Saccharomyces cerevisiae S288C: one gene and its partners. The gene in region 2 interacts genetically with the main gene of each other region. Each region holds a gene or a part of one and is shown on either strand. Other genes may lie near its edges.

Region 1 (3,745 bases), on a different chromosome or scaffold from region 2:
ACAAAACGAACAACATGAGACAAAACCCGTCCTTCCCTAGCTGAACTACCCAAAAGTATAAATGCCTGAACAATTAGTTTAGATCCGAGATTCCGCGCTTCCACCACTTAGTATGATTCATATTTTATATAATATATAAGATAAGTAACATTCCGTGAATTAATCTGATAAACTGTTTTGACAACTGGTTACTTCCCTAAGACTGTTTATATTAGGATTGTCAAGACACTCCGGTATTACTCGAGCCCGTAATTCAACACAAGTGTAATTTCAATAGCTCGCGTGGCGTAATGGCAACGCGTCTGACTTCTAATCAGAAGATTATGGGTTCGACCCCCATCGTGAGTGTTGTTTTTTTAAATAATTTCCTGGCTGAAGGGAATAATGTTGTTCAACAACGAAGATATTTCTTATTTTTCTAAGAGGTATTATGATATGATACATGACAATAAACATTATGAAATTTTTTGTGAAAGATGTATAAATTTATAAAAAAAAAAAAAAAGTTACTTCCTCCACTTCGTTAGCTCATATTAGTTTCTTTTATTCCCAGACTTTCTGCTTTTGATAATAATCTAGCAAAATAGAAAAGGCATGACTATAAACCAAAACCACCATTAGAATAGGCCATTGGTTTTATATCTGGGTGCTCAACAGCTTCGAATGTCTCAATTATTAGATTTTGGTCGTCATTCCTGCCAGCCTGTAAAATACCATGGCCTGGTACAACATGAATAACACCCCCAAGATTACCTTGGCTATCACAATAGTTTGGAGCACTGAAAACTGTCATTAATTTACCCTTCTGCTCGAATTGCACACCACCCATTCTTAACTCGTGAGATCTAAAAATCTTGCGCAATTTGTTGTTTCTTAGAAATCTATCTGTAATGTCGGGTCCAAAAGCATGTCCTAAACCACGCTGAGAAGGACCCATCCCGTTGGCTTCTTGTGGGTCCGCCCATAGAAGTTCCATAAAGGCGCCATCTCTAGGTGGTTGGGCAAATCTATCAATATTCTTGAAATCAGACAAAGTTGCTGAAGGATCACTTGGTAAACCACCATGCATTACAAGGTAATCATTATTAATTAAGGTAGCCAATGGAAGGCTCTCAAAACTTTGTGCAAACATGTTAAATATCCTTTGTGAATATTTGTATTTACACTCATCTTCAAACCCATAGATTTTGTTCATATTATCACTCTCATGATTACCTCTGTTCAAAAAGAAATTATTTGGATGTAATATTTTCAAACAGTAGAATAATAGTGCAACTTCACACGACCAAGAACCACGGTCGACAAAATCACCATTGAATAGATAAGTGTGCTTAGGACCTACTTTACCAAACTTGCGAAATAAATTCAAAACATCATAAAATTGGCCATGCGTATCACCACATACTGATATCTTAACATCAGGAGTAGAGTTATTTTCTAGTTCTACCATAGATGGCTCTTGACGAAATAAGGTATCAGCATGAGAGATAATAGCTGCAACGTACTTTTTTGGTAAATATTTTCCCTTTAGGAAAAGATCGTTAACCATTTTGGAAATAAACTCTTGAGACATGTTCTTGATCTTTGCACCTTTAAAGGCATTCTTATCGTCATACAGCTGTTCAAATTCTAACTTTGGACCTTCATAATTGGCTAAATCTGCATTAGCATCAAATGAACTCAAGTTCAAAGTCTGACACAAACTGATCTTGGCTTCATTTTCTGCGCCTCCGATAGCTTTCCTAAATCTTTCTTCTCTAATGAACCTATCACATGTAAGTAACGCCTTAGTAGCAGCCGGATCATTGGGCTTCGCCTTTAGAAGCACATTCAAATCTTTCCTAGCCTTTTTAAATTCTAGCAGAGCCATGCAGGATAATGCACGTCTATGATAAGCTTTGATATTTTTGGGATCCAGTTTAATGGCTTCATCACAGTCATTTAAAGCGCTTTGAAAGTTATCTACCTTAAAGTGAGCAAATGCTCTGTTCGAAAAATAGATAGACTGTGTAGAATCTAAATCGATCGCCTCTGTATATTTTTCAATGGCCTTTAAAAAATGTTTTTCCTTCACAAAAACATTTCCTTCGTTCTTTCTTTCAAGTGCCTTCGCGCGATCTGCTGCTGTGGGTGTTGACATATTCGAGATATTTGATTATACCAAGGCAAGCGTTATTTCTTGCCTCTAAAATTGTTAAAGTTCTGTGTCAAGCTCTATAAGCTGTTTTCGCCAATTTTCTTACCTCATCTGTGAAATTTTTCAGTTTCCCGCCGTCGTTTTTTTCCCTGGTTTAGCGTTTTAACGGAAAAAGAAATACATACATACAATGATTGAAAAAATATTTTCATAAAGAAGAAAATGAGAAGGAACTTTTGAGGACTAGAAGTGTTCCTGATAATTGTCTCAGCCAGAATTTTCAGTGGCCAAGGTACGAACAAGAAACTGCTAAAAGGAAAAAAAATACTCAGAATAACAGAAGATGACAGACAGTATTGTGGAACCCCAACAATTATCTCAAAATTTACCTATTTCTTAAGTATAAACAGTACACTGCATCAGTGGTATTAGATTTGTCATGGTGTAAAATTTTATGATAAAAAAATACAACATGGCGGGCGTAAAATAAAATACATATTCGTAATCCTGGAATATTACGCCAACTACAACCAATAACTTATGATTATATTACCAGAATATTATCATGTATGGCTCTCAAAATATGACATAAATGGTTTCTATTAAAAGCATCATCAATTCAATGAAGCTGAAATTTCAAGGATTGGTGATGTAATAGAACAATGAGCGGCGATATCATAGAACGAAAAAAGAAGTAATCGTCATTTTTTGTAGCACTCTTATTTCCTTTTTTAGAGTTCTAATCCTCAAGGTGAAACCGTAACATATGCATATACTTAACGATACCGCCTTCTTTGAAAATTAGAAGCCTTATATCTATTTCGAACGCACATATGTTGTCATACACAATGCGACACATGAAAATACTACTCTTTACACCTGTATTATCAAACTATTAATCAGTGACTTCCGAAAAAAATAGGTCTCTTGGCCCAGTTGGTTAAGGCACCGTGCTAATAACGCGGGGATCAGCGGTTCGATCCCGCTAGAGACCATTTACTTTTTAGAATGCAAATATAAGATCCCGATAAATCATAGAACCACCACTTACTTATTCACTTATGTGGTCCTTCCTGCTGTGGGCAGAGAGCGATTTGCACGTACAAAGCGATCAAATTACGAACAAAACAATACATAAGAGGTTTGGACACGTTCTTAAGGCTAACTCCACATTGCGATAACAAGATTAAAGTGAGCTCCTGCTCATTCCTAATTGGAACTCATCATGCCTCCCATCAAGGTGGAGCCTGGATTTTACTAAAGAAACCGTTCGAACGGCTCTGTATTTACTAAGAGGGGGATATATCAAATCGTGGAAAACATGAGAGAACAGTCTCGTTGCGTGCAACAGCCGCTATCCTGCTGCTCTCTGCATAACTGGACCTTGCGTATTGGGTTCATTCTTTTGGCTTTGTGAAACGATTCACAAAGCCATACGTCCGTAGTATGGACCCTGCAGGAATGGTCTACATTTTCTATCTACTAGTAAAGCTTTATTCACATATGGGTGCCGCACGGCGCGGGTTTTTGCAAATTTTCTTAGCATTGACTCATGGCAAGATTTCTCCAGAAAATCAGTAAAGCCTCATCCAGCCTCTCTTCTTGAAA
Region 2 (3,729 bases):
GTGGGTCAATTTTCCCTGGGATGCAAAGCCAAAGTTGACAGAAAAGTTGATGGTAGACTTTTTGCTAGAGAATCATGGTCAAGTCAATAATGAGGAAGATTTGGAAGGTATACAATATCTCGTTGAAAGGGCCCGCTCTAAGGTGCCAATGCTAGAGGATTCCCTTGAAGGGGAAGATTACAATTTGTGTCATTTTTGGAGTAACTTTGAAATTGCCCGCGTTGATTTATTCGACAATGAGATCTATAACGCCTATTTTAAATTTTTGGAAGAGTCTGGAGGTTTCTGGACTGAAAGGTGGGGTGACGCGCCAATTCATTCAATTGGGTTGGGAATGACCTTGGATCTAGAAGACGTTCATTATTTCAGAGACATTGGTTATAGACACTCATCGCTGCAGCATTGTCCGAAGAATGCCTTACAAAGCCAAGAAAATCTCAACACTTTCGATGAAGGTTATAACTTCGGATGTGGATGTCGATGCGTGTGCCCCAAGAAAGGTGAAGACATCGAAGACCACTCCACCCCTTGCATGGATATTTTTTTTGAATTGCTTCACGGCAGGGAATATGAGAAGGAATTCCCTGGTTGTTACAAGCCCTCCATAAAGGACAAAGACGTGATTGAAGAGATCAGAAGAGAAAATTTTAGAGTAATTGAATAGATACAGTGTTTTCTATACATTTATACGTATGAACAAAATTATAAAAGAGTCTACCAACTTCTCCAGATATCTACGAACTGGCGGTGTACTCAACAGTCTTCGGACCACATCTAAGTTTGTTTACATTAATAACAATTCATATTTAACTCATGGAGGTTTTGATGGCAATGTAGCTACTATTTTCAATATTTCAGAATTCAATTACATCAATTCTTCGGCCAAGGGGTCACTTCTAACTTATAAAAGCATTACCTTCTTTTGTCCAAGATATTTCAAGAAACGGCCTTTAGGGAGACATGCGAAGGGAAAAGGCAAATCTGACGAAAAGATTCTATAAACTACGATTTCCAATATACTTAACACACAAGAAATGTCTGCTAAACCCGCTACTGACGATGCCAAAGATGAACTTCTATCACCATTTCGCCGGCTATATGCATTGACAAGGACACCTTATCCTGCGCTCGCAAACGCAGCACTATTAGCATCCACTCCGGTGCTATCCCCAAGCTTTAAAGTGCCTCCAACGCAATCTCCTGCCCTCTCGATACCAATGTCTAGGGTATTCTCTAAATCTTCTACTGCCAGAATCGGTATAACTACTAAAACCGCCCTTTTCTTTTCTACAATGCAAGCTATAGGTGCATACATGATCTATGACAACGACTTGGAAAATGGGGCTGGCTTCATTGCTACATGGTCCGCCTTATATTTGATTGTAGGGGGCAAGAAGTCCTTTAGTGCGTTAAGATATGGAAGAACTTGGCCGTTGGTGCTATCCTCGGTTTCATTGGCCAACGCAGTCCTTTATGGCCAACGGTTCCTTGCTACCGGATTCCAGTGATGCTTACATCTATTAATGTCTTAATATTTAATTTTGTATCCTCTGTATTATCTGTATGAACCACGTGACTTAACATGAATGGATTTGCTTCCACATCTTTCACCTCTTATCATACGTTCATAACTTCTTCATCCGAAGTCAGATTTGACCCTCAAATAGATAAGACGCCAAGAACAAGCGTCAACGGAAAGGCGAATTCTACAATCAGGACATAGCATCAAAGAGAAAAGGAATTCTAAGGTATGGAGGCTACATCAAGTGCTCTTTCGTCTACGGCGAATCTCGTTAAGACAATAGTTGGCGCTGGTACACTTGCCATTCCGTACAGTTTTAAAAGCGATGGTGTTCTGGTAGGGGTTATTCTTACATTATTGGCGGCGGTAACATCCGGTCTGGGTCTCTTTGTGCTATCGAAATGTTCCAAGACCTTAATTAATCCAAGAAACTCTTCTTTCTTCACATTATGCATGCTCACCTATCCCACTTTGGCCCCAATTTTTGATTTGGCAATGATAGTTCAATGCTTTGGTGTGGGCTTAAGTTACTTAGTTCTTATTGGTGATCTCTTTCCAGGACTGTTTGGTGGTGAAAGAAATTATTGGATAATTGCATCAGCTGTAATCATCATTCCCCTATGTTTAGTGAAGAAACTAGATCAATTGAAGTATTCTAGTATTCTAGGTCTTTTCGCGCTAGCATACATATCAATTCTGGTGTTCAGTCATTTTGTGTTTGAGCTGGGAAAGGGTGAATTAACAAATATATTAAGAAATGACATATGCTGGTGGAAAATTCACGACTTTAAAGGATTATTATCAACTTTTAGCATTATAATTTTTGCTTTTACGGGATCAATGAACCTATTCCCCATGATAAATGAATTAAAAGACAACAGCATGGAAAATATCACTTTCGTTATCAATAATTCGATATCCTTATCAACAGCACTATTTTTGATCGTTGGTTTATCAGGATATTTAACCTTCGGTAATGAAACCTTGGGTAATTTAATGTTGAACTACGATCCTAACTCAATTTGGATAGTAATTGGCAAATTCTGTCTTGGCTCAATGTTAATTCTTTCCTTCCCGCTTCTCTTTCATCCGCTGCGCATAGCAGTTAACAATGTCATCATCTGGATTGAGATCACTTATGGTGGGGCAAATCCCGAAGAGGACCCACAAGTTTCGGAATACACTCGTGCTTCCAACCTAAGACCAATTAGCATGACTGTGGAAGATCCAGCCCAGCCCAGTGATGCACTAGACGCAACTTCTTATAACGAGCAAGAATGTTTACTACCTAACGGGAACTTTGATAATGGTTCAATTGAAAGTCAAGAGAACAATAATGATGAAAGAGGGACTATGGCGGTCGCCGGGGATAACGAGCATCATGCGCCATTTGTTAAGTCTAGATTTTACTGGATTACTGCATTATTACTAATAAGCATGTATACCTTGGCGTTGTCTGTCCAGTCATTTGCACTGGTTCTTTCATTTGTAGGGGCTACAGGTTCAACGTCTATTTCATTCACTTTACCTGGATTATTAGGTTACAAATTAATAGGCTTGGATTCTTTGGCTATTGGGAAGATGATTCCACCAAAAGATAGATTTTACAAAAGGTGCAGCTTATTGCTAGTCTTCTACGGACTATCTGTGATGTTTTTGTCATTGTATGTAACTGTATTCAACCGTTCAGATGAAGCCTAAATGGACCAATAGTCATGCAAGAGAAGTATAAAACAGTATATAGTAAATAGTAAATAGAATCAGAGACAGCAGACTCAAAGTTTTATGCTTAACGCGATCATCGACTAGTTTAATACTTTATTCTATGGCACTTACAAAAAGGTATTACCCTGCTAAACAATAAAGATCCCTGAAAAAATGGAGCAGGCTCAGAGAATGTGACTTCATGCGCTTTAGTGGTAAAAATACTGCCTAAATAGTCCCTAAAAAAAAAAGAATAAAAAATAACTCCGAAGCGGGGAGTCGAACCCCGGTCTCCACGGTGAGAACGTGATGTGATAGCCGTTACACTACATCGGATTTGATTAGCTTGATTTGAATAGAAAAACATGTTACCATATCAGTAAATATGAATGATCTTTATTTATATATATATGTCCGGAAAATTGTAGGAATAAAAACCTGTTGGAGTAAAAATCAACCATCATCTATCAACTAGTAGTTACACTATCAATATATTATCATAT
Region 3 (5,337 bases), on a different chromosome or scaffold from region 2:
TACAAATTCTAATGAATCTCAAATTTCTCCTGATTCCACAAGAAGTTATGAGCCGGAATGTCCAGTGGCATACGAAAAAAATGATAATCCGGCAGCGTTGAATTTATTACGGATTGCTTCTCATAAAGCAGGCCAAAACGCGGATGGCTTACCAAAGACATTTAGAAATAGAGCATTTTCCATTACTTCTACCTCCGGCCAACTTTCAAGCTTAAGCAGACACAGCACCCTTGGTAATGCGGATCCTAATTATCTGAACGATGATGATGAAAGCTCTGATGATGATTTGCCATTAGCTTTGAAAATGGTGCTAAGTCACATGAAAGAAAAGAAGGACTAAGATATTGAAAAGTCCTAATGTAAGATAATTACCAATTTCATATTCATTGTCGATTTCACTTCGCTTAAAGAATTTTTACTGTTTGTTTTTTGTAAAGCCTTTCCAATAAAAAATAGAATGATAGATAAAGGTCATAACTAGAATGGTGGCGAACAAAGCAAAACTTAAATTATCTCTGCATACAAGCGTATAATTTCCTTATCTATAGTAATATATAAGAACTAGAAATCTGCCTATTAATTAATTACCTCCCTAATCTTCTGGGAATTATGATAAGTCAAACCTGGCGCCTGAGTTTATTGCATATAATAATTTCTCTCTCAAAATTGTTTTGTTTCTATAATCTGGCAATTTTAATAAATTAACACAGGTAGATGCCGTAGGCAGCCTGTATTTCTCTGTCCCTGCATTTCTGATACCAAATTTTGGATCTAATGCCTTGAAGCCTTGCAGAGGAGCTTGCGGAACGGACGTGACAAATTTCAAAAAATTCAATTTCTCTTCAAACTTAAACTCATTCAAAACCTCCCAAAAATCAACAATTGTCTGATCTTCTTCTTTATAACCCCCGTATTCTGTGTTAGATTTCAGATCGTCTAAATCGATATTATCTCTCTCACCTGATATTAACATTTGTAGTTCTATAGAGTTAAACATCTCCATCCAATGTGGGGCAATGATAACACTGAGCCCTCCATGGAATGCCGAAACTGGTTTGAAGCATCTTTTGTTTAATTTGTAATCCGTTACTTTAGTAACGTAGAGCAACACATTATCCTTCGTCACGTACGTTTTTGAACCATTCGGAATTAAGTCAACAACTTTTGCGGAACTTTCAGGCTCATCTATTTCAAAGGTTAAATCTAAAGACTTGATCTCGTCAGTGGTCATGTTCAATAATTTGATCAAATTATTATACAACACCGAATCATAGCTTCCCAGATCAGAAAAAGAAGATAAAAACCCGTTCGAGTAATTCAATAATTTTTTCAAAAAGAAATCAGCAAAAGATACATCTATCAAAACATGCTCATATAGACATTTGCCTACAACCTTTCCCAGAAACCATATATACTTAAGTTTCGTAGCGTCATAAACAACAGAAGGATATAATTCGTAGCGATCATTCGTCCGAAATAACTCGTGCTTTGGATCTTTAAATCCTTCATCAGACACAGTAGTTAAAAATTCCTTGGTAATGCCGCCCCCATCAATACCAGCTTCTTCACCAAATTCATTAATAAAAGTAACATCTAATGAAGCTTTGAACCTTTCTCCTATAGAGTTAAATGCGTTGAAAGCATCTTCTAAGACATTATCCCTAGAGATGATAGCGGATTGCTTCCTCATACCGGTGGAGGCCCAGGGGGTAAACATATTGATCAAGTTGTGATCGTCATCTAAAGATAATCGCTTCTTGTCCAGTGCGATGAACATATAAAATAAGTCCACCCTTTCTTCAAAAGGAATAAAAAATGGTAATTCCAAAAGTATTTCCAACTTTCGGAAACGTAATGATGACTTTAATCTCTTTTTCATTTTGTTCAATAATAAAGACTTCAAAGGAGGCCTTTCTTTATCAAGATCTATTTCCTTTTCCATATCCTCATCACTTTCCTCTTCTAAGTGTTCTCTATACAGATCTTCGTACTCCTGTAATTCTTCGTAAAATCTCAAATTTAAAAATTGCTTTTCAGAGTTTTCCCAATAGGTTGGATTATTCTCCGTGGATAGAAAGTGCAATCTTGAGTCCCTTTCGTAGACTTTGCTCAAAAGTGGTACTGCTTCCTTTAACATAGGGTTCCTTTCACTTTTAGGTAGTTCCCAATATTGTCGGAAAGTAAAATCTTTTAACGTGGATGTAAATTTCTTTAGTTCTTCGATAGGTATCACAGAGTTGTAGTCTAATAACTCCCGATCTGTCGATATTAAAAGGTGCATGTCGATAAGCTGTGCCAAAACTGAAAACAGGGGGTGAGCCTCAGTCTTGCTGGCGTTGAATTTAGTGTGAAAGAATTCCCATGAGAGCCTTCTCACGAAGTCTTTGTTAGACAGTAAGGTAATAAGGACAGAATTCTTACAGCTTTGATTGGGAGAGCTTGCAATGTAGCACATCAAATTCTTCACGTGATCTTCATCAGAAACGTAATTTGCAGTAGTAGCAATAACTTCGTCTATAAATGCCTTTTCATAAAATTTCAAGACATAGTCGTTATCACTACGCAAGACTGATGGAGCAATATGATTGTTGAAGTTTGGTATGAGTAGCTTGGCGATATTTTTTTGGCCACCTTTACTACAGTGTGAATATGTCTTTGCCATGTTATCCCATAATATCGGATTTGTGTTGATAAGTTGGGGCAAAAGGTTTCTTTCGGCAAGTATGCAATAAAACTGTAGTGCAAATGGCCGTTTTTCGTAAGATCCTATCGATATCGAAAAAATACTAATGGAGGCACTGCTATGCATTACTTCCCATGCTTCTATGACATCAGCTAGCTTAGAAGCTGAGGAATAACTCAAAAAGGAAGCCCGACAGAGATAAACGGATAGACTATCTAAAAATTCGTCAACTGTAGGGCAGTCCATGTTAAGATCGCTTAGAGTTTCAGCCACCAGTGCATCATCTTGATATAGCTTCAACAAGCTCAATAGCTGTCTGTTGCCTAAAGAATTAGGATAAGAACTCAAAAAATTATGAGATAATTTTAGCAGTTGCTGCAGATCATATTGAGAAATGTAATAGATTAATTTGCCCCCGTAAGCTGGTATCATATGAACAAGTTGCGAACTAGTAAATGTGTTTTTGAAGAGTCTCACATTTGAAAAATGTCTTCTGATGCTTTTTTGAATGGTTTTACTGGCGTCTTCTTTGAGCTTATCTTGTGCTCTCCTTTCACGTTCCCTTTTGGCCTTTTCCAGTAAATCCTTCTTTGAATTTCGAGTCCTATTCCCTAAATTGACATTTCTTCTCCTTGTTTGACCGGTGAAGTTTAACATTTTAAGTCAGAATCCTTTGAAATGCTGCTTGAGATAAATTATAACGCTTTGCCACTCGAATGAAGTTATAGGCGAGTCATCCTTAAAAGTTTAAGTGAGATCGTTATAGTGCGGAAAAGGCGAACTTTTAAGGTAAAAGAAATTCAAGCCATTCACACCATGAGGAACGGAAAAAGATAAAAGGCATTAAGATAGTGTAGGATTGTGTAATCCAACATAATATCTAACTTTCAATGGCTCACGAGGTTCATAGAATAAAACCTAAACTAGGACGGACCCAAATATTTTGGGTTTTTCTAGCCTTTAGAGTACTGAATGCAGTTCTGACGAGAACCTTCTTTCAGGCTGATGAGTTTTGGCAAGCATTGGAGCCGGCACATTGGAAGGCTTTCAAGTATGGTGAACTGACTTGGGAATGGAAATTCGGAGTTCGTAGCTATTTATTTCCGATGATTTTTGAGCTGACTTATAGATTGGTTTCTCTATCGTCAATCCTTCTTCACTATGCACTTCTTCTTCTCTCAACGATAGGGTCTGATTTATTAATTTTACTACTGCCGAAATATGAGTTAAGTTGGCAAGTCGCTGAAGACTTGAAGAGGCTTCCTTTTGATGTCACACGGTCGTTCGAATATTATGGTGTGATATATGCGCCAAAAATAGTTATGGCAGTACTAGCTTCCATAGGGGAATATTATATCGTAAGATTTGTTCAAAAGCTCTATTTACTTACACTTGATAAGAGAAACGAGAAGGAGGAAGAGGAGAGACGCAGCGGTTTATCCGAGATTACGAAGTTTGCACTGCTTTTAAGTTTAACTAATTTTTTTAATTGCTTTTTTATTACAAGAACGTTCATCAACTCTTTTGAAATGATTTTAACTTCTATTGCCCTCTACTACTGGGACTGGACAGGCGGACAAATGATAAAAGAGTCATCTTTTACTAAGTCGCTTATTTTTGCATTTCTGGCATGTTTGCAAAGACCCAGCAGTGGACTTATTTGGGTAATTCCCAGCATTTCCCTAATATTAAACTTGGTAGGCAAAAAGCAGTATCATTTACTTTTCATCACATTTTCCAAAGTTTTACGGTCTTTTTTTCTGGTATTTACTGCAAATGCAATTATCGACATGTATTTTTATGAAAAAGTAACGTTTCCCTTTTTCCGATTTCTAAAATTCAATTTCACAACACCATTATCAAAGTTTTATGGGGTAGCTCCTTGGCATTTTCATTTCTTTCAAAGCTTACCTATCGTATTAGGTGCAAGTATTCCCGCTTTTGCATTTGGATTATTTTTTCCACTAAGCAAAAGGAGTTTCCCAAAGAAGTATTTAAACCCGTTTTTCCAAGTGAAACTCACTATCTTGTTGAATCTGTTGGTGTACTCTACGTTACCTCATAAGGAATTTAGGTTCATCTTCCCATTACAGCCACTTTTCATATTAATATCATCATTTGGCCTTTTGAGACTTGATAGAGATTATTGGAAAAGACTATCTGGCCTAAAATCTTTACTCTGGCTTGTTCCATTCGTGTCGGTGTTCATCGCATTACTTTTGGACACATTCCACGAATCTGGATCTATCGAAGTTATGAAATTTTTACATGAAGAGCCAGAAATAGATAGTTTGGGATTCATAATGCCCTGTCATTCGACACCTGGTCAAAGCTATTTACACCGCAGTGACATTCAAGATCTGTGGTCGATTACTTGTAACCCTCCATTGCATTTACTTGGAGACCCAGAGGCTTACTCCAAACTAGAGACCTACATGGATGAAAGTGACCATTTGTATGACGATATATCGGCATTCATTTACAAAAATTTCCCACCGCCTTTTCGTAAGGATCTAAGGAGTCCAGGTAAAACATACAGCCACGAATGGCCAACATATTTGGTTGTTTTCGAGCACATGGAAAACGCATTTCTAAAGGATTTCCTGAAAGATTCATCATACATTGAATACAATAGATTCTTCAACTCTCTTGCG

The links.
Region 1: mutations in AVT7 (region 2) and PPT1 together harm fitness more than expected from each alone (negative genetic interaction), as found in Saccharomyces cerevisiae (one large-scale study listed by BioGRID).
Region 3: mutations in AVT7 (region 2) and HUL5 together harm fitness more than expected from each alone (negative genetic interaction), as found in Saccharomyces cerevisiae (one large-scale study listed by BioGRID).

Annotation. Positions count from the first base shown.
Region 1 is NC_001139.9:736,064-739,808, forward strand, and holds PPT1 (protein serine/threonine phosphatase), read right to left. Parts: upstream 2,141-3,745; coding exon 599-2,140; downstream 1-598. UniProt on the Saccharomyces cerevisiae protein: Protein phosphatase that specifically binds to and dephosphorylates the molecular chaperone Hsp90 (HSC82 and HSP82). Dephosphorylation positively regulates the Hsp90 chaperone machinery.
Region 2 is NC_001141.2:197,425-201,153, reverse strand, and holds AVT7 (Avt7p), read left to right. Parts: upstream 1-1,750; coding exon 1,751-3,223; downstream 3,224-3,729. Other genes in the region: KTR7 (putative mannosyltransferase), read left to right, coding at 1-664; YIL086C (uncharacterized protein), read left to right, coding at 693-1,001; AIM19 (Aim19p), read left to right, coding at 1,035-1,508. UniProt on the Saccharomyces cerevisiae protein: Probable amino acid transporter of unknown specificity.
Region 3 is NC_001139.9:236,356-241,692, reverse strand, and holds HUL5 (ubiquitin-ubiquitin ligase HUL5), read right to left. Parts: upstream 3,341-5,337; coding exon 608-3,340; downstream 1-607. Other genes in the region: YGL140C (uncharacterized protein), read left to right, coding at 1-340; GPI10 (putative glycosylphosphatidylinositol-alpha 1,2 mannosyltransferase), read left to right, coding at 3,574-5,337. UniProt on the Saccharomyces cerevisiae protein: Non-essential E3 ubiquitin-protein ligase that specifically catalyzes 'Lys-29'- and 'Lys-48'-linked polyubiquitin chains.